Coturnix japonica: one gene and its partner. The protein of the gene in region 1 interacts with the protein of each later gene in a pairwise test. Links are inferred from orthologs where the notes say so. Each region holds a gene or a part of one and is shown on either strand. Other genes may lie near its edges.

Region 1 (8,496 bases):
CCTCTCGCATGTCTTTCTCGCTATGTGCGGTTGCTAGATACCCTCTACTCGGGTCGTACATAGTTAATCATCGCTTTAAACATGTAAGTTTTGGTGCATTACAAGCAGGGTCAATGTGTGTTGGAATGGATACCGATGCCAATGCTTCTGGATGAAGGTGCGTAATTCGAAGAGGCACCCAATATGTTAGCTGTGGGCCCCGCACAGCATACCCCGCCCCCCTGCAAGGTCACATGCGTCCCTCTACATAAGATGCTTATCACCTGCCCCTGTCCAGTCCAGCACTTTACAGAACACCACTAAATGCTAACGTCCTGACTTCACCGTTGCAAGGACCTTTTAATCTTTAGCAGACCAGTTTGTTGCCATTCTCACAACTCCGCTCTTGCCTGCCCACACCACACCTCACCCACTACAGATGGTGCGAAAAGACATGTGATGGCTATCGAATTATGCGAGCTGCATGCACATCATTGGGTCGTTCGTCTGGTGTGCAGGGCCCTGGGCACAGGTGTGCACTCCCTGGTGCCTTGGGGTACATTATGGGGGCACCCACAGCCAGGTTGTAGGTATGATTTGGGAGGTGACCATAAGCACCAAGGAGACAGGCTGAGGCCATCCAAGATGACTGATCTAGCTGCTGATTTACGCTGGTTGGCAACTCTGCCCTGGCAGGGGGTTTGGAACTAGATGATCCCTGAGGTCTCTTCCAACCCAGGCCATTCTATGATTCTATGCGTGCAAAGGCAGCTCAATCTGCCTCTTGGAACAGAAGGAAGATCAGTGATTCATGTAATTAAAGAAAGAAGTGGATGACAGATGAAGCTGTGTGATGCACTCTGACATCTGGAGAAAGAAAAGAAAAGAAAAGAAAAGAAAAGAAAAGAAAAGAAAAGAAAAGAAAAGAAAAGAAAAGAAAAGAAAAGAAAAGAAAAGAAAAGAGCTAGGAACATTTCAGCCTAGCAGTAAAACACCTTTTCCTTTCCCTCTTTTCAGTGGGGATCAAGGCAATGAAGGGCACTGAGTAACTGCCCCGAGGGCATGGTAGGATTTCCAGTGGCTTTGAATTAATGCAGCAAGGCTCCCCCTCCAGCGATTGCTTGTTTAAGCATGTGTGACCATGAACACCCTTTCCCAGTAGCACTGGAACAGTTTTACCACTCAGCACATCTTTCCTTTCCTTTGTATAAGACAAAAGGTAATGGCCTTAAGCTGAGCCAGGGGAGGTTCAGATTGGATATTAGGAAACATTTCTTCTCAGAAGGAGTGGTGAGGCACTGCAGGCTGCCCAGGGAGGTGGTGGAGTCACAGTCCCTGGAGGTGCTCAGGAACCATTTGGATGCATCACTGAGGGGTGGGTTGACTGGTAGAATATCCAAACTTAATGATTCTATGATTCTATAGGCTGTGTTGTCACTAATCCATCTCTCATATTTTAAGTCAAATAATGTACACTCACAGCAGATGTAGTGAGAATAAAAGGCTTTTCTATTTCTTCCCCCTGAATAATGGTACTTAAACCTGCTTTATGAGATCTTTGTTTTCAGCTTTATATTTTTCAAGGCACCAGAAGCTCAGAAGCATGTCGGGGAAGCCCAGGCTCACCTATCTCAATGGGAGAGGGCGAATGGAGTCCATCCGTTGGCTGCTGGCTGCAGCTGGAGTGGAGGTTGGTTGACAATCAGCTCTTTAAACGGACACTGTGTGAAACAGTTCAATATGCACACAGGGAATAAGAGACTGTAAAAGGGTGAAAAGTTTGTTTTTGGAATAGATTTAGGTTTGGACCTACTCTGTTCAGTGGCTGGTATTTGGGATGCAAACTCAATGGAGCTTTGGGTTTCACAGAGTTAGCATGAGTCTTCTGAAGTAATTCTAGTGGGTCTAAACAGGGATTTTTTTTAAAGGCCTTTAATAAATCTAAGTTTTCTAGCTGTGCAAAATCACTTTTGCTCAGTCTTATTTAGATTGCAGTTGCAAAGTGTATATATAAAAAAAAAAGGATGTTGTTGACTTACATGCTCTTGGGGTGGTGTTAGAAAGAGCTGATTTACTTGTGCTTCCCTTGGCATTGGCTGCAGCCTGCTCTTCCCTGTAGATGCCTGTGTCTTCTGCTTGCACTCCAATAATTTCTAAATCAGTGCAGCCAGGCAGAAATGGCCAGGCCCTTCTGCTGCAATCCAGCCATGGGGATGGGTGGAGAGTCCTCAGGGGATTCACAGTCAAACATCACAGCTGAAGCCCCAGCTCATCGTGTTTTGCTTGGCTGGATTGTTCTGCTCGAGGTTATGTGCAGTCAATTGGAGAAAGATGCCAGAAACATAAAGAGCTCTTCTCTCTTCTTTTCTAGTTTGAAGAAATTTTTCTGCAAACAAGAGAGCAGTTTTTGAAGTTAGACCAAGGTAAGACTATGATGCTTGAGGCTTTGGCCATCAGAAAGTTGCTCGTATTAATCTACATTTGTGATTTAAAAGCAATTTATTTAAACCAATGCAAACTTCCAGGTATAAATCTAGAATGCTGAACACTGGTTTTGTGTAACCTGTTTGTTGCAGTACCAAATAACTCCTATGAGATAGAAGGCAGAATGGCATAATTCCACATTCAGTAATGAAGCCTATCTGTTGCCAGAGAGGAGAATTAAGTGGCAGTGAAAAGGACAGGGAAGTCTTTGAAGGAAAATCAAGGCTCTTCATGTATATATGTATACTGAGCTTAAGGGATTGAGAGCACAAAGAAAAAGGCTGGCTTTGATACGATAAGGCAAAGAAAGTTGAATATTAGTCATTTGGTGGAGTGCTGCCAGGAGATCAGAGCAGGACTGAACTTAAATAACCACCACTCCCTCTACCTCCATCTTTTTTCTCTCTCCTTGCCAATGTGCCTTGTGCCAGGGAGCCCTGAGTTCAGACTCCAGAGCACTGTTACCACCAGCCAGGTGTGCCTCTGGCCTGTGCCAGCTGATGGTCTTCTAGGAATCCTCCAGCGCTTTCTGGCATTCGGCCCAGGCCAGGAGCCGTTCCCAGTGGGCACCTTCTAGCCAGACAGCTGCTTTGGAGACAGAGAGACTCCAGCACATCACCCTGACCAGCCTGTACACACTGGCTTGAGACCAGCTGGCTTGGCTTGATCTATGTAGCCACAGGTTGATGTCAAGAAGTATTGCTGTTCTGTCACAAACAGGCCTAGATTATCACTCTTTAATGAATGCCCACAGACCATCACCAGACACAAAATACAGCCAGCAAACTGCTTTAAACCCTGCATGTATGTTATATGCAGTGGCTACATGAAGCGGTTCCACTGCAAAACAAGAAGCAGCAGCCTACTGATGGTCACAGGGGAAATATTCTTCTCTGTAGAGAAGAAACAAACCAGGCATTCAGAGTCCTCACATTTGCTACACTGTACTTCTTGTCAAGGAGCAGAAGGTCAGATTCATTATCTACTTAGTGCAACTTCTTGCAGAGAAGTATGCTTGGATAGCTGCTATTTTTCCAGTCCTACGTTATTTCTGCCTGATATGGGTCTTTTTAGAGGTGATATTCTTTTCCTAATCTGCAGAGGTGTGTTTTGGTAAGAGATGATGACACAGGGTCATTCTGTTAGTGTTTATGAGAAATAAATGGGCTATTTCTTGCCACAAAAAGAGCTGCTTTTTGAATTTAAGCTGTAAATTAGTGATGTAGTGAAGAGTTTTTATTAATTCTTGGTTAGTAGAGTATTTTAGCAGCATCTCTGTAAAGAAGTGAGTAGGTAAAGGTGTTGTGAATTCTTGTACTTGGAAGAAATGCACTATTAATAACCGCCAAGCAATTAAAATAAATGCTTAACTTTGAGCAATACAGAGTGGCAACTGTCTACTTGGATTTAGAGCTGCAGTGTGATCTTAACAGGTCAAGATTGTTCTTTGGGTGCCCCTAAACATGTAAATGGAGCAGGGAGTATCTCCAAAGCTGGCAAATGAGTTCAGCAGAAAACTGTGCTAGAAAAGACTGGCTTTGCTGTTCTGAACACAAGGTCTCTCTGCACAGCCTCACTAAAGGATCAGCCAGACTGCTTCCAGCAGTGGGAGAAAACAGGGCTGTCAGCACAGGGGCAGGAGAGGATGGTGGTGGCACAGCTGGATGGTTTTGAGTTGTTGTGAAATGACACTGGGGACAGGCAGGCATGTAATGGAAATCTACAGGGATGCTCAAAGTCCTGTTTCTGGAGCAACTATGCAAAACTTAGTGAAGCAGCGAGCTGCTGTCACACTCCCCATCCCTGGCTTCAGTGCCTCACAATGAATCTGGCACTGCTTCTCCCAGTGCCCTGACCTTTCCCTTTGTCCCACTAGCTCAGTCTTACTGTGGCACTACCTCTTTTTTTTAATTTCCAACCCTATTTATGTGCCTGCCAGGGGACTGAGCTGCATTCAGAATAATTGGACTTTTTGTTCTGAAGTTCAGATTTAACACAGCTCTTCATTCTTCACAGGTCCCTGGGGCTGGAACTGCTGGGTCAGCCTTCTCCTGCCAGCAGGGCCAGGGGCCAGGAGTGCAAGGGAGCAGTGCCAGTTCCCATCAGGCAGAGCAGCTCTGGCAAAGCTGCAAAGCATGGGGCCCAGCTGCACTGCTCTGACCGAGCTGCAAACCTGATGCCTACCAGACAGTATTTGATCTTTCCCACAATGTTAATTAACCACGTGGAGTTTCAGAGTTAGGGCAAGGCGTCTGTGATCTACACTGCAAAAGAAATGCACTCTCCTGTAAAGCTGGAAGTCAAGGAGGAATTAACAAGCTCTCCTTCGTCTTTCTGTTCTAGATGGATCCCTGCTGTACCATCAACTGCCGCTGGTTGAGATCGACGGGATGAAGTTGGTGCAGTGCAGAGCCATCCTCAACTACATAGCAGGGAAATACAATCTCTACGGGAAAGACCTGAAGGAGAGAGCCCTGTACTGTAACACTTCCTCTTGCTTAATGAGCAATCTGTTATTTGATAGCCGTATTACATAGAACAAATGCAACCCTGTAAATCCAATACAAAGGTGTGAGAAAGGCTAACGAAACAAAGCAGACTGTGGCTTTTGTTTGGGTTTTAGCCATTGCTTATGAAATGCTATTGAACAGAAAACAGGCTTTTAGTCCATTCAAAATTTACCTAGCTTTATTTTGTACTTAGTTTTGGCTATGAAAATTGGCACCGTGATTGTGCTACACAGTTCCTGTAAGTTGCTTTAGTTAATTGCAATACAAATGAAATAAATCCCGTGCTCTTATCTATTGCTTCCCCCCAAATAGGATCGACATGTATGTGGAAGGAATATCAGATCTGATGCAACTGATTTTGATGTTTCCTTTCTCTCCACCTGACGCAAAGGAGAAAAATCTTGCCACGATTGCAGAGAAGGCAAAAGAGAGGTACTTCCCTGTCTTTGAAAAGGTACGTGACAGAGAGGATGTGCCTGGGAAACTTGCATTTACAGTTATCAGAAACTTTCCCAAAACTAAGAACATCATTGCGGTACAGTTGGATCCAGATCCTCAGTCCACTTGGCTCTCACAGAGAAGGGGAAATGAAACAGCAAATCTTCTGTTTGTTAGCTTATGTTGTCAGGGCTGGAACAGCCACCAAGCAAACAAAGTGAAATATTTTCAGTTTACACAGCATATCTCTTTTTACTGATGTAAAAGCAAGCACACATGTTATTGTTGTTGTTTTTTTTTTTTACTATGAGAGAAAATTCCACTCTTCTATTTGTCCAGAGCACATCCTCTCTGCTGCCCTTCAGTCAAAGAATGCAGAAAACCCTTGCAAATAAATCAGATAGACAAAAACATTGAGGTATTGGGACTGCTGTCGTAAAACAACAGCCTCAGATTTCTACACGCCTCATTTGCAGAAACAACAAACCAAACCCACAAGACCTGGCAACACTGTTCACCTTTGTAACGTTCATTTAGTTTTGATGGAAAACAATGATAAATGCTGAACATCCTAGAAGTTCCTATTACCATAACAACTTGCTTCTGGAGGCGGGGATTCTCTTTGGTTTGCTATTGTGATTTTGCATACTAAGTTTGCTTCCTGCATGTTGAACAGAACCATAGATTAAATCTCTAAATGGCATTTTCATGAATTCTCTCCAAGTCCTCTGTTGTCTCTATTTATAACCTTATGACTGTTAATATCTTATTTAAGTGTGTGGCTTTGTCTGTTTTCCCAGTACCGATCATCACTCATCATTACCAAGTGACCAGAGTTTGTAATATGTGTACTAGAAGTTCTGATTTTTTCCAACAACAGTAAAGTGATTTGGGCTCACAGTTCTCTAGCTAAAAAGTGAAACTTCACTTACAATCACTTGCAGTCACTGATTAGCTCTACAACTGTGCCATAAGGCTCAGCTGCCATGTATCATCTGCAACCTGTGCTCTCTTGTACTCTACAGATTTTGAAACAGCACGGCCAAGATTTTCTTGTGGGAAACCGATTCAGCTGGGCAGATGTTCAGCTCACGGAATGCATTTTAGCAGTGGAGGAGAAAGTACCTTCTGTGCTTTCTGGGTTTCCTCAGCTGCAGGTAATGATGCTATCGAACAAACTCATGTTCAGGAACCACGCAGTACAAAGACCTGCCATCTCAGTAGAAATCAGTGTCATTCTAAGGAAACCACTGATCTAAGCTGCCCTGTTTCCATTTTCCTGTCTCCTGCTTGTAAATACTATCTACTACTAATAACAAACTAATTCTGTGACATAGATAGACATGTTAGAATATGATAGAATGTGCCATTTTCTGTCCTGGCTGGTATTATAAATTTGGGATTCCAATAACTTTACTACAGCATGGCCAGAAATTCAAGACCTGATGAAAGAAAACACACTGTTTTCTTTCAGTAATCAACTTGATATCATCAAGGATGAATTTTCTGCTTTTATACTATGTACAAAATCTGCAACCAAGTGAAAGTAAGGCAATCAGAGATCAGACAATTCCAGATCTACAGCATGCTATAGAGCCCAATGCATTATCAAACCTGCAGGAGTCAGAGTTGTGATACAGAGGATCTAAATCCTCTGAGACTAAAAGAAGCAAATACTGTTCAGTAGTTCAACCTTGTGCCTGTAATCTTGGTAAATGGAGTAGTGCAAGCAATGTTAATTTAGACTGATGATTCTATGCTTAAAGTCATTACTTTGTGCTTAAAAACAGTTAACCTGAAGGATGCACTCAAAGACTTTGACTTTGATCCCATTAACAAAACAAGCAGTCCAGCATCAGACTATCCTAACTGGAATTTCTGCTTGGTACTCAAGGAAAAGGGGCAGGGAGGAGATGTGATACTCTCCCTACCCCTCAAATCCCAACTCCAGCAGTATAAGTCTGAATTCAGTCTTACTCCTTCCTGCACCCCACCCCCCTCCCCCCTTATCATTCCAGTGCTTGTAAGGAAGAAGAAATGTTCATACATGTGCCAGCAAGAAATGGCTGTTGTTCTGTGAACTCCTCTCCCTTACTCCCATTGTCAGAGGAGGTTCTTACATACATAATATTGCTGAGCTAACTGTGGGGTCTCCATATGCTCAAAACACTGCTTTTGCTGGTAAGAATAAGCATTTGGCAGCATCTGCGTCCCTCTCATATTAGGCCGGAGGAACCTACATAGACCTGCTCAGCACCTGAATGAATTCATTCTACCAGCAGGGGGAAGAAGCTGTCCAGTGTCCTGTGCATGGAACGTTGCTGCTCACATCATCGGGATTTATCTCTCTTGCTTTTATTTTTCAGGCTTTTAAGACTAAAATGAGCAACATCCCCACAATCAAGAAATTCCTGCAGCCTGGCAGCCAGAGGAAACCCCCTCCAGATGAAAATTATGTAGCAACTGTGATGAAAGTTTTTAAGCTAGGCTGAGTGCAATGTTAACTTCACCAAGTCTCAAAGTGCTGGGAAGAAAGACGTCAAAACCCAAACCCTTAAAGGAAGTAGGAAACTCAGTAAAGTTTCATTGTACTTAAAAGCAATAGTAGAAATCAATAAAAGAGTGAAATAAAGCATTCTGTTTACTCTGGCAACATGACAGTGGATTTGCCTTTGTTGGTGTCTAACACTTTGTAATACATGCAAACAAGGCAGAATGGAAGCAAACAACTTTTTGTCAGAGTAGGAAACTTACTCCTTTGTAAGGAGAGTGATGAAGCGCTAGTATGGCAGAATGATCCAAGGGGTGGAACACCTACACTACCAGGACAGGCTGAGAGATGGAGCTGTTCAGCCTGGAGAAAGGAAAGCTCCAGGGACACCTGAGAGCACTGGAACAGGTTACCCAGAGAGGTGGTGGACGTTCCATCCTTGGAAATATACAGGGTGGGGCTGGATGGGGCTCTGAGCAGTCTGATCTAGCTGTAGATGTCCCTCTTCATTGCAGAAGAGTTGGATCACATGATCCTAAAACATCCCTTCCAACACAAAATATTCTATGTCTGTATGATTATCTGAAAATAGGC
Region 2 (11,408 bases), about 7.9 Mb from region 1:
CAAAGAAAAAGCTGTAGTTAGAAAAACCTGCATCCAGTTATGAAAATATCCTGCCTCTAGGAAGAACCTCCTTCTAAAGCCTAACAGTCAGTGTTGGCCAAACCGGAGCCTGAAGTGTGGTTTAACACTAGCTTCTACTTGTACATTAATAGAAACCTGCAACGAAGATGGTAAAAACAGATATGAAGATGGTTTATCAAAAAACAGATAGAGTATAATTGACGTGTTCATACAAGGCTTCCCAATTTTAGACTCTGACACTTACCTTGAAAATACTAAAGGGAAGGGACTCATTTGTCAGCCAACAGAACTGGCAAATGTTAAGAACATGAACCCTTCATTTAATATCTAGAGAAACATTTTAAACAAGTTTTAGGCACCCAGATTCAAAACCCAGCTAACTTGAAGAGAATTTGTCTGTCTTGCAGAGAAATTTTGGTATCTCACATCAAAGCAGAAAGTTAATGTACCTTTCTGAATACAGCAAGCGGGTATAAATGAATTATGCAGTGTCCTAAAGTAGAGACCAGTAAATACACCCTTAGCTACTGAGGGATATAGATAAGGGCCAGAGAGCAATGAAAAAAAAAAGCATCTTGAACATTAAAATAATGTGATACACATCAGAAATATTGCAACTCACAATAAAATATCTATGTAAGAACAACAGTGTGCCAGGCAACACAGAAAATTGAGTCTCTGTAGTATATGTGAAGCAGCACTGTTAGAAGCTGACCTGCAAGCCGGTATTAACTGTTCATAGAAGCAGAACAGTTAATATTCAGGATGCAGAATCAGAAAAGAATAAAGCTATGTGAGATTTCTGAGGTCAAGGCTGCTGCCTTAGTACTAAAGCAATATGAAGAGCAGCCTTTTCAGGAGTACTTAACCACTATATATATAACATGTATACAGTATATATATTTATATATACAGTATATATATGAGTATGAATGTTTTATGTATATATATATTAGAACTATTAGTGCAAGAAAAGAGAGGATAAACAGAATAAAGCCAAGATTTATTCAATTACAAGAGCTCCCTGCCCTGGTAAGGACATGACATGAACAACTCTAATTGAATCCTAAAGATCATTTTGGCTGTCCAAGCAATTTTGCACTTCTTCACAAGATCCAGCCTCTATTCGAGCATGTGAAATTCCAACTGAGAACATCGATAAGACTCAGCCAGTGAGGAACATTCCTTCCTTTTTCGTTTCTTTCTCCTGAAATGGATTCTTCTAAACGTTCCTAGTCCCATACAACCCTTCAGCATCCCTGCACAAAGTCCCACTACAGTGCCCATGAGGCAGGTTTAAGAAGAAGCCTCTCTCAGTGCCTTCCAGCATTATCAGACTATCAGCCTAGTTTGCAGAGTACTGGTGAAAACACACCAAAATACAGATCGCCCATATTGTCAAGTTATACTGCTTCCAGTTGCAATTTTAACTATAATTTGCTTTTGATACAACTAAAATTGAAAGGAAAAGGTCTGCATGTTGCATGGAATAGCCACAGTTGAGTGTTTTTTTCAAGTGAACAGTATTTTCAAATGAATAACTTTTGTTTCAAGTAACTGCCTATCAGTCGCTAGCATATTTTGCAACACTCGAGGCAAGAGGAAAAAAAATCCCCAACAGACTTCTTACAGCTTCAATTTCATTTTGAAGTGTCAGACTCTGTGTCACTGGAAGCAGACATTCCCTCTGCAGCACTCGTAAGCTGCAGCACAACAGACACTCCACTTTCCAGGCTCGCTCAGCTGAAATCCCATTAAGACAAGAATGAAGTTTATACTTTTCTGTCAAAGCTTCAGTGAAATTTAACAACAAATGAGACCTTTAACCAAGTGGCAAAGTAGCCTTCACTTAAAAAGGGATTTAATCCAAGCTTGTTGTTTTCAGGACTTTTCATTTTGTCTGCACAGAGCAATGCAGTTACTTCTTGTTGAGAGACCAAGCTGAATGTCGCTAGTAGGGTCTCCCACCTCCAGGTTTTCCAGATCCCTTGCTGGTTAATACCTATTCCTTCTCTATCGGGTGCTCAGCATCCTGACACTGAATATCTAGCATCCTACCCTGCCAAATTCACCATTTCCACATGGCAGTTTTGTCTGACTACAGCGATCCTGATTCATTTGCTGACAACAATGCATATGGCACTACTCAGAGACTGGCAGCACAGCCCATGTAGAAAGATGGTCATGGGGGTTTCCATTCCAATGGCGAGATTTTGGTCTTTCCAAACGGTGAAGCACTCTCCTCCAGCTGATGAATTTGCTGCTGCCTCTTATCCAGATGTGACATACCTGCTGCTGCTCTGCTTCTACATTTGTGTTTCTTAGATTTCTGCAGATAACTCCCATCAAATGCAGAATCTATTAAATGAAAAATGCTTTCCTGTACATTACATCATGGGTCTGATCTTCACAGATAATGCAATATGGTTGTTATGTTTCTTCTGAGGTCCTGTGTAGTGAGGTCCTGGAACAGGCTGCCCAGGGAGGTTGTGGATGCCCCGTCCTTGGAGGTGTTCAAGGCCAGGTTGGACAGGGCCCTGGGCAACCTGATCTAGTAAAGGTGTATGTTTGGTGGCCCTGCCAGGCAGGGGGGTTGGAGCTTCATGATCCTTGAGGTCCCTTCCAACCTGGGTCATTCTATGATTCTCTTTCAGGTGAGTTTGCTGAAAGACAGGAAATTATACCAAGTAATTTCTCTCAAATTCAGTAAGGGAAATACAGGAAATAAGGAAAATAGGAAAACCCAGAAATCGTCCCAGCTCCCTTTTGCATGGCCTGAACTATTTAAAACACGAGGAGCCTTTAGCTACAAATTTGCCCTTCAAATTTAGAAACAATATTTTTCAGAGGAAAATTCACTACAAAAAAACTTTTCTTTTTTTTTTTTTTTTTGGAAAAACCAACTCAGAAATTGCACCTGGATGACGAAATCAAAAACAGGCACAGATAATTTGGTCTTCTTAACTGTTTAATTTAAATGCTCAGTTGTGAAAAATGTATGTTTTAAAAATCAGTCAGAGAAATCTTGAATAACTTATACTGCAATACCCTCTTGTGGCCATATAGTAATAGTTTATTTAAACAACTGAAGCTTTCTTCTGCCCCCCAAAAAACCCTATCTTTTTCCTTTTGGAAGGAACTAGTTCATATATTTGTTACAGACAAATCTGCATCATCATCACTTGTCTGGCAGCAACAAAGGGATAACCTCTGTTTTGCTCTTCTTCAGCATAATGGGCATAATGGGCCCTGACACTGCTTATCAGAGAAACTAATATCAAAATTAACCCTCAAGCAAAGGCACCATCTCCTACAGTGACACTCATAACAACATTTTCAATTCTCATGTCCCCAAGCAGAGAAAATAAAGATGCTATAATCAGTTTTCATGGATACATACAACATGAAGCCACAATTAACATTAATCTACTCTACTGCAGGATGGGAAGAATTATGAAGTGGATCAATTGTGTTAACCCAAATGAGTTCCATTCTTAAATTCCCAACATTGTTATAAAAAACCCCAAAAGCTAAACCAGCAGATGATAATATTAGAGAAAACAGTTCAATACCCGCAGAACTACTGAGCTGTATATTCAGTGGCCTGAATCGGCTACAGGTTTGTCCAGTAAGGAACCCAGAGCAGTCCCCAGAAATGTCACCCTTAATGGAGACCAGTTATGAGAACACAGGATAGTTTTTAAAGTATTTGCTCTTAGTGTTCTGGTTTTGGAACAGCAGCTGAAGTCACAACCACCACAAAACTTATTTAGGCAGCCATTATCCCACTCCCATCTCCAATATCCATAGAAACAACTGGAACAGGATGAAGTGTCCAGCCGCTGTATGTAGACATATAGATTATATTCATTTAACAGCAGAATTTCTAACTGGTAAAGACTCCCATCTTTTCTGAGGTTGCAGTCTTGGACCTAAATATCTGACTTTAACCTACTAGCTTACTTCCAAGCAGACATTCCTGCTCCCCAGCTGCATCAAAACTAAGTAAGTTACATCTTCTGCATCTTTGCAGACAACATTCAAAAGAACAGACTCTATGCACTGGCCAGCAATGTTCCCATGTAAATTATTCAGTGACTACAACAAGTCATTTGGAAACTATATACTCAGCTGATAATCATTTTTAGCTTATTTTCATATTTAATTTGCATAAAGTGACTTGAAAGGGGCGGGGGGTACAAGATAGAAGGGGACAGACTCTTTAGCGGGGTCTGTTATGACAGGACAAGGAGAATGGCTTTAAACTAAATGAAGGGAGATTTAGACTGGAAATAAAGGCGACTTTTTTATATGAAAACAGCAGTGAGGCACAGGCACAGGTTGCCCAGAGAGGTGTTGGATGCCCTGTCCATGGAGACACCCAAGGTCGGGCTGGAAGGGGCTCTGAGCCCCTGATGGAGCTGTGGGTGTCTTGGTGTACTGCAGGGGAGTTGGACCAGATGGCCTTTAAGGGTCCCTTCCAACTCCAATGATTCTATGAAAGGTTATAATAAAAATAACAGAAGAACTCTGTAAACATTCATTAAAAAGCATTCAATTCACAGGAATAGCCTTTCCAGAAGGATCTTTCCCTGACCTGATCAGAGGCTGAATTCCTACACTGCACTGATAAATTAATTGGTTCTTCCAAGCATGCCCCAGGTTCCTCTCACTGCAGTTGGATGCCGCTAAAATCACACCCTTCAACTATCTATCTGCCTACAGTCCAGGAGAGGATCTTGGAATGAATAAAAAGCTTCTGGAGGAGGAACAGAGTCAGCTATGAGGCCTGGTTGGCAAACAGCTCATTCCTTTAGTTATAGGGCTGTGTGGTCATGTGACATTTTTTGTTCTTTTTGGATGAAAGACGTGGAAAAAAAAACTTTAGGTTTCAATTCCCTCAGAAAAGACAACAACACAGACAAAAAGCCTACGAAAACTGCATTCCAATCCAAAGCAAACATTCTGTTTTGACATCGATCTTTAAACTCTTCTTAATTTATGATACTGAAATTTTTGAAGTCATGGTAATTTTTTACAAACACAGAAATATCTTTTGCTCAGAAATGTCTACATGAAATGTCTGGATTGTTGGACAGTTACAGCTATTTTAAATTACCTCTTACTTGCCAAATTCAGCGTGTGCTTCCCAAAAGCCCCCAAGTAAGTACATTTCCCCCCCCCAAAAAAAAAGAAAAAGAAGAAAGAAAAAGAAAGCAAAATCCCTAAAAAACAGATTAGCATTTACTAGGAAGTTGAGGCACGAAGCTAGAATTCATCTGGAGCTGATTCCCATGACTCAGAAACAAGTCAGTTGAGAATTGAAGAGGAAATTTATACTTTAAATGGCCTTATTTTCCTGCAAGGTCACCAACACTTGAGGAAGTGACTTAATACCACAGAGGCCGTCACAGGCTGACTGTAGGGCTGACAAACTGACATTTCAGACACTGTTTTGAAAATTCTCACTAATAGCTCCTGAAAGTTCATTAAAAAGAACTTCCCATAGTTGCTTAATATCTTCTGAAGAAATCTCTGAGTATTTTATATGGACTTTTTATGATCTTTGGATGCTCTTCTTTAAATCTGAAAATAAGGAGCTTTAAAAGCACGATTGCATTGGAATATCTTCTTTCAAACAAAAGCGCTCTGCCCAAACAGTCCAAGGCCTCAACAGCTGCCTGCACTGGGTTTCTGCCCCCTCTCTGGTGAATATTCACAAGCCAGCCTGGTTTCCAATGGAGACAGTAAACACATCAGGGAAAGCAGCAGCTTTCGGGAGGTTTTGCTTCTGCCACAGAGCTACCACAAAACTCCTCCTGACAAACCAGCAGCAGTCCCACAGCATGCTCTGCATTAAAGCACGCTTTGCTGTTCTGCATGAACATAAGGTGGTCTCAGCTGTAAGCAGCACGCATCACCTCCCTAAGCAGAGAGCTTGCTGCTTACAGCTGGAGACTGATGGATTTCAGTAACAAGTGTTTCTTACAAAAATTGTTGTTACCACAGAAACTTGTTCAGCCTTCATGCAACGAAGCAACGCAGAGCAGTAGGAAATGATCATTAAATAACAAAGAAGCAAAACGGTGCTGAGCGCTACCCGTCAGAGCTGGTCTGCGTGCTCATTTTCTTAAAGCAGTCCAAATCTGCAGCTGAAAGAAAGCGCTGGGGGAGGAGGAGCACTGAAAGCACAACAGCAGGCTTAACCTGCTTCATTGTCAGTAGCTCTGTTATGAGTGTCAAAATGGACACGTTGGAAAAGGGTTCTGGATTTGGGAGGAATACCTTGAATGGTTCTCGGCATCCAGCAAGCAAAGCTCTGGAGCAAACAGCCTCAGCTCCTCCTCTGTCTCGTGGCAGCATTTGGCCTGGAAGAGCACACCTGGCTGCTAGGCCCAGGGCAGAGGAGCGGGCAGCACTGCAGCAGGACCAGGTACAGCAGGATAAGGTCTGGAGAGAGTCTGTGGAGGCTGAACGGAGAGGAAGAAAAATCTGGTAAGTCATTTGTTCCAATTCACCCCTCTTCTGCTCATCTCGGCAATAGTACTGATGCACCCTGACATCATAGGGCTTCATCCGAAGCCTACACTATCAAGCAAAGTTTTCTTCTGCAGGATCCTTGGATTAGAACCTACCACCTTAGCATTAGAAAGATTCTAACACTATATGAACTCTGTTCTCTACTGGGCAAAATCTATGCCAATAACTCCCAACACACTGAAAAAGCTGAAAAAGAGATGCAAAGAAGCGCATGTTTTCTGTCTTTTAGCTTTATAGGGATCTCCACAATGATTATATAAATGTGCCAACCTTTATAATTTATTGCAGACACACTGATATTATCACCACTTCTCATATTCTTGGAAATGGCTGAAATGGAAATTGAACAGAGTGTTCTGCCAAAACATGACTCTGGATTCCCAATCTGTAAATCTCCTGAACATACCCTACAAGCCACATGAAGACAGGAAAAATCCCATTATTTCAGTGCTTCAGCAGAAAGAACTGCCTGCATACATGTATTCACCAGTTACCTGAAAGAGACAGAGATTAAGATCCTCTCTGTCACGTAACTTGTGAAGTGCTTCTGTTCATACTTCAGTACACAACACAGACATAATTCTTACAGGAATATATTTGGTAAAAGTAAAAATAGCTCCAGTTCTGCCTATGCACTAGCCAAGCAGACAAAAGAAAAAAGGCAGAGAATGAAGCACACCACTTTTAGGATGGTTTTAGGAAGGGAAAAGAAGCCATCTGAAAACTCCTGTCCTCCTCCTCAGTCCTCTGGAGGAAATATAGATCATAGTTTGGGTTTCTCCAGTGCCTGCTGTGTTCACTGGCTCTTTTTGCCTGAGGGAAAGGCTGAAGCCTGGACTCTGACTCACACAAAGCCTGGGCTGTGGTTGCAATGCTGCTCTCCCTCAGTTGTACACTCAGGACCTTTCCCAGTGGGCCCAAATGTTCCATGCCCATTCTTCAGCAAAGGCAACAGGAGGGATGCTACATCTGCCCATGTCTATTAGGGCTCACAGTCATGGATGTCAGTGCAAACCCATGTTCATGTGTACTTAGGGTAACACATCTACAACTAACGCATGCCCTGCTCTCCATCCTTGGCAACAGAGACACAACTCTTGCACAAGGGTAGGACAGATATGTGGACAGATGTCTAAAGTCAGCATTGCTGCCGACATAGAATCATACAGTTACTCAGGTTGGAAAAGACCTTGAAGATCATCAAGTCCAACTGCAGCCTAACCATAGTACCCTAACTCTAACAACCCTCTGCTAAATCATATCCCTGAGCACCACATCCAAACATCCTGTGACATCAGGCCACAGCCTGCAGAGAACTGTCCTTTGGCGCCTCATCCCCATACCAAAGACAGTGATGGGAAAAGCTCGCTATGAGTTTGTGGTCTGACCTGAAGTGGGTACAGGCAAATGGCAGAGACACAAACTTTTCTCATTAATGAGCACCTTACAGTGACGTCCAAACCTGGTACACTCATATAGTGTTCAACATAGCAAGATGTATAAAACAGGGACAAAAAAGACAAAACATTTTAAACTGCAATTTTGACTTCTGTTCCGAGGTACCAGAACTGGAGTTTCCTAAAGGACTACGACCAAATGGTAAGTTTCAAACAAATACTTAACTGTAATCCAGGTTCTTTTTAGCTTGCACCACTTCAAAGGACACTAATATTTTAAATGGAGCATATTTAGGCATAACTGGCAAATGTTTGAAGACTAAAATCATTAGGAAAACAAAAGAGAGCTGAGGTGTCATTCATCTTCCATAAAGGAATACAGCTTTGTGCGTGCCTTCAGTCTGCTCCAGTATTTATAACTTCATGCAGAGAAAAGTGCTAGAAGAACCAGCTCAGGGGAAAACAAAGTGTAAGATAATGTCATACTAAAATCCAAGCCACTACTAAAAACAAAACAAATATCGTCCCACATCATGACCATTCCAGAGCAGGCTAAATTCTTTCTCTCCTGACATTTTAAGCAGCATATTTAAAAATGATTCATTTCCCTGTGCTATCTTATTCCCAGGAAAAATTGCTAGGAAAACTTTTTACTGTATTTTTGCAACGCTTTCATGTGCATTAGGGAACTATTACATGCTTACACCTTAATTGTCAAAAAGCAAAAGAGCTGATGTTAGTAATAATCTCTATAACCTGTATTTTCAGAAGCAAATGATGCAGCTGTGAAAACTCCAGCATTAATGGTCTTTGTTTCATCCAGGGTAACAAAAAGGAACAGAAGCCACTGCCAGACTGTACATCTGTGTTTTCAAACACGGTTCCCAATTCGACCAACCAGAACATTGGTAGTAGGATGAATACTGAACATGGCAAGATGCTGATAAACATGGATTACTTCTTCAGCAGGGGAGCACAAAAGAGGAAACTTGAAGATGACCTCCAGCTTTCCTAATGCTTAAAGTAAAGATACCGGTAACAAAGCAAGTGACAGAGATCTAGCTAATAGACTTCTTTCAGACTGAAAATAGCAGGGAACAAATTCCTCATCTTCCCCCTGATATCAACAGTACTGTCCTGCGTGGAGCTTTTTCAAGAGCAAAGATGTATGTCACCAAGCAATGCCTAAGAAGACAATCCTCTTCAGATTTGAGGTAACTGGGCCATATACAGTGAGTCAGGACCACAGATCCCATCTATCTTCCCATGCGAGGCCATTGTAACATTGCTACTAAAGAGAAAGTTTAGAGTCTAAGGGCAGTTTCTTCCTGAATTTTTACCTCCTGAAAAGAAACAATTGATGGAGATCAGTTCAGATGAGTTGCACTACAAACAACATGATACAACCTCTGAAAGTCAGTGTGATAAAGTGCAGCAGGTTGTTGTATTTCATGTATTTAGCCAAGGATTCATCAGCTTGTCACCTGCGTGTTTAAGCTTGTTCTTAGGAGTAAAGTTGAAGGAATGTAAGATGCGTTACATGCATTTTCAAGCCTCCCTGCCGAGAAACCTGAGCCAGGCTGAGCCAGGTTATATTCTTATTGTCACCATTCTTTAATTTAACAGGGATGTAGCTCCTAAAATCTGCAGTTACCCAGGGAAATCATAAGGCTAAATCGACACAATACTTACAGCCTGTTTACTAATGCATCTGGGTGCAAAGCTTGTTTGTGATCTGTTGTTTTGGAGGAAAAAACATTAATCAGCAGAGCATGGAAAATGGAAGCCTACACTTTCAACAAAATAATAATAATCTTGCTGAGCTAAAATACCTTCTGATTTCTTCTAAGAGAAGAAAGCTGCAGCAGGAACTGTTTTTATTTCAAATGCATCTAGTGGGAACATAGCAAGCTCCACGTTTTCTAACCTGCAGATGGCACTCACTTCCCACCAAGTAACCCATTGCAAAGGGCACAGCAACAGCATTGCACAATACCTTCCTAATTTCTAAGGGCATTAAATAGTTCCAGATTCTCAACAGTGTTTGCTCTGTGTGAATCCAGAGAATCCCTGTCCCAGAGAGGCCCTGCAAAATGGATTGCACGGGACAGAGGGTGGTCACAGCACTGCACTTTATCCTTCTACTCAGTACTGGCACTGCTTCAACTGAAGCGTTTCTTCCAGTTTTGGGCAAAACATGGAAGGTGCTGCTCTGAAGACGTGGGCACTAACAAGACTTGAGAAGCAAAGACTGTAAACAGAGTACTGGGAAGTTTGGCTATGAGGATACATTAAACAGGTTATTACAGCTTAACCTGAAAAAATAAAAAGAGAATGGGAACTGAGAAATCTCTACCTTTAAATGTTAAACACGCACAGCCATCAGGAATGACATATTTAACAAGGTTTGCCTGTTAGAGTGTGAACTGTGTAACTGAAGCAGTTTTCATCAGTTATCAGATCTTCACTGGAGTTGCCGGAATCAGAAAACATGGCTTTTCAAAACATATCCAAAAAGGATTTAAAAATCACATCAGTTGGGTCAGACTGGCATAGACCACACCTCTAAAACCCAGATCACCTCATGTTTCAATGAGCGCACATTCCTAGCCTTCTTCTGGCTGCCACTTTACAGTGAAATGCTTTTCACTGCATCCAGATGAGCCTTTTTCAATCAGAGCCCCTCTGAAATCCATCCTTAGTGCCTAGTGTGTAGTTAAAGTAAGTTAACACCTACAGCAACCTTCAGAGAACACAGCTGGGAGCTGCTGAGGACTCAACCAAAGCTGCCATAGATCCTGTGAGCAGAAAGCAGTAAAGAGGTATTCTGTAGACACTGTTTTCTTCCCAAGTTTAGCGATCATTTTTTCTCTTACCAGAATTAATGTCACCAACAAATCTTTATTTACATAAGCAGAGACACTGAGAAGGAATGGATGACAGCAGCACTTACATTTGTAAATGATCGGTGGAAACTCCATTTATTAAGGAGATTGTACAGATACTAAACTGCGCTGTAAGCTTCTTGAGAAGAGTTTTTATGATGTATCACTCGTGCTTCATGGTTTTATAAGAGGGTTTTTTTTCTTTCCTTTAGCTGCCAGATCTCAAAGAAGAGATTATCTGTGTTTAGAGAATCCATTCTCTGTATTTCTTTCAGTCAAAGCGCACAAGTGGGTAGGAATTTGAATTTAATTCTGGAGTTAGATAGATGGCTTTCTCTTCTAAGGATTGTTCCCAGTGCCTCCAAGTCTTGTGTGTTCTCATTTCAAGCTATTCTCATAATAAAAATGTGTGTAATTGTTCGTATTTTATAACAAAACATACGTAACTTCATATAAACCTTTATTTCTTCTGCTCTTAGAATAGTTTTTGTACACAGTTCCCATGTGACATCTTAACTATGCAGCTTTCTATTCTAGAAGGCTGGTGATTCCAACCATGTTTTTT

The links.
Region 2: the proteins of glutathione S-transferase-like (region 1) and C3H2orf50 interact in binary tests that used the Homo sapiens proteins (3 or more experiments, as listed by UniProt). The two-hybrid records come from large-scale screens. The link is inferred for Coturnix japonica from reciprocal best matches to the Homo sapiens genes GSTA4 and CIMIP5.

What each region holds. Positions count from the first base shown.
Region 1 is NC_029518.1:80,704,361-80,712,856, forward strand, and holds the end of glutathione S-transferase-like, read left to right. Parts: intron 1-1,547; 5' UTR 1,548-1,582; coding exon 1,583-1,669; intron 1,670-2,350; coding exon 2,351-2,402; intron 2,403-4,806; coding exon 4,807-4,939; intron 4,940-5,285; coding exon 5,286-5,427; intron 5,428-6,436; coding exon 6,437-6,568; intron 6,569-7,777; coding exon 7,778-7,903; 3' UTR 7,904-8,069; downstream 8,070-8,496. UniProt on the Homo sapiens protein: Conjugation of reduced glutathione to a wide number of exogenous and endogenous hydrophobic electrophiles. This isozyme has a high catalytic efficiency with 4-hydroxyalkenals such as 4-hydroxynonenal (4-HNE).
Region 2 is NC_029518.1:88,603,407-88,614,814, forward strand, and holds C3H2orf50 (uncharacterized protein C2orf50 homolog), read left to right. Parts: upstream 1-5,234; 5' UTR 5,235-6,253; coding exon 6,254-6,516; intron 6,517-8,120; coding exon 8,121-8,160; intron 8,161-8,781; coding exon 8,782-8,973; 3' UTR 8,974-11,263; downstream 11,264-11,408.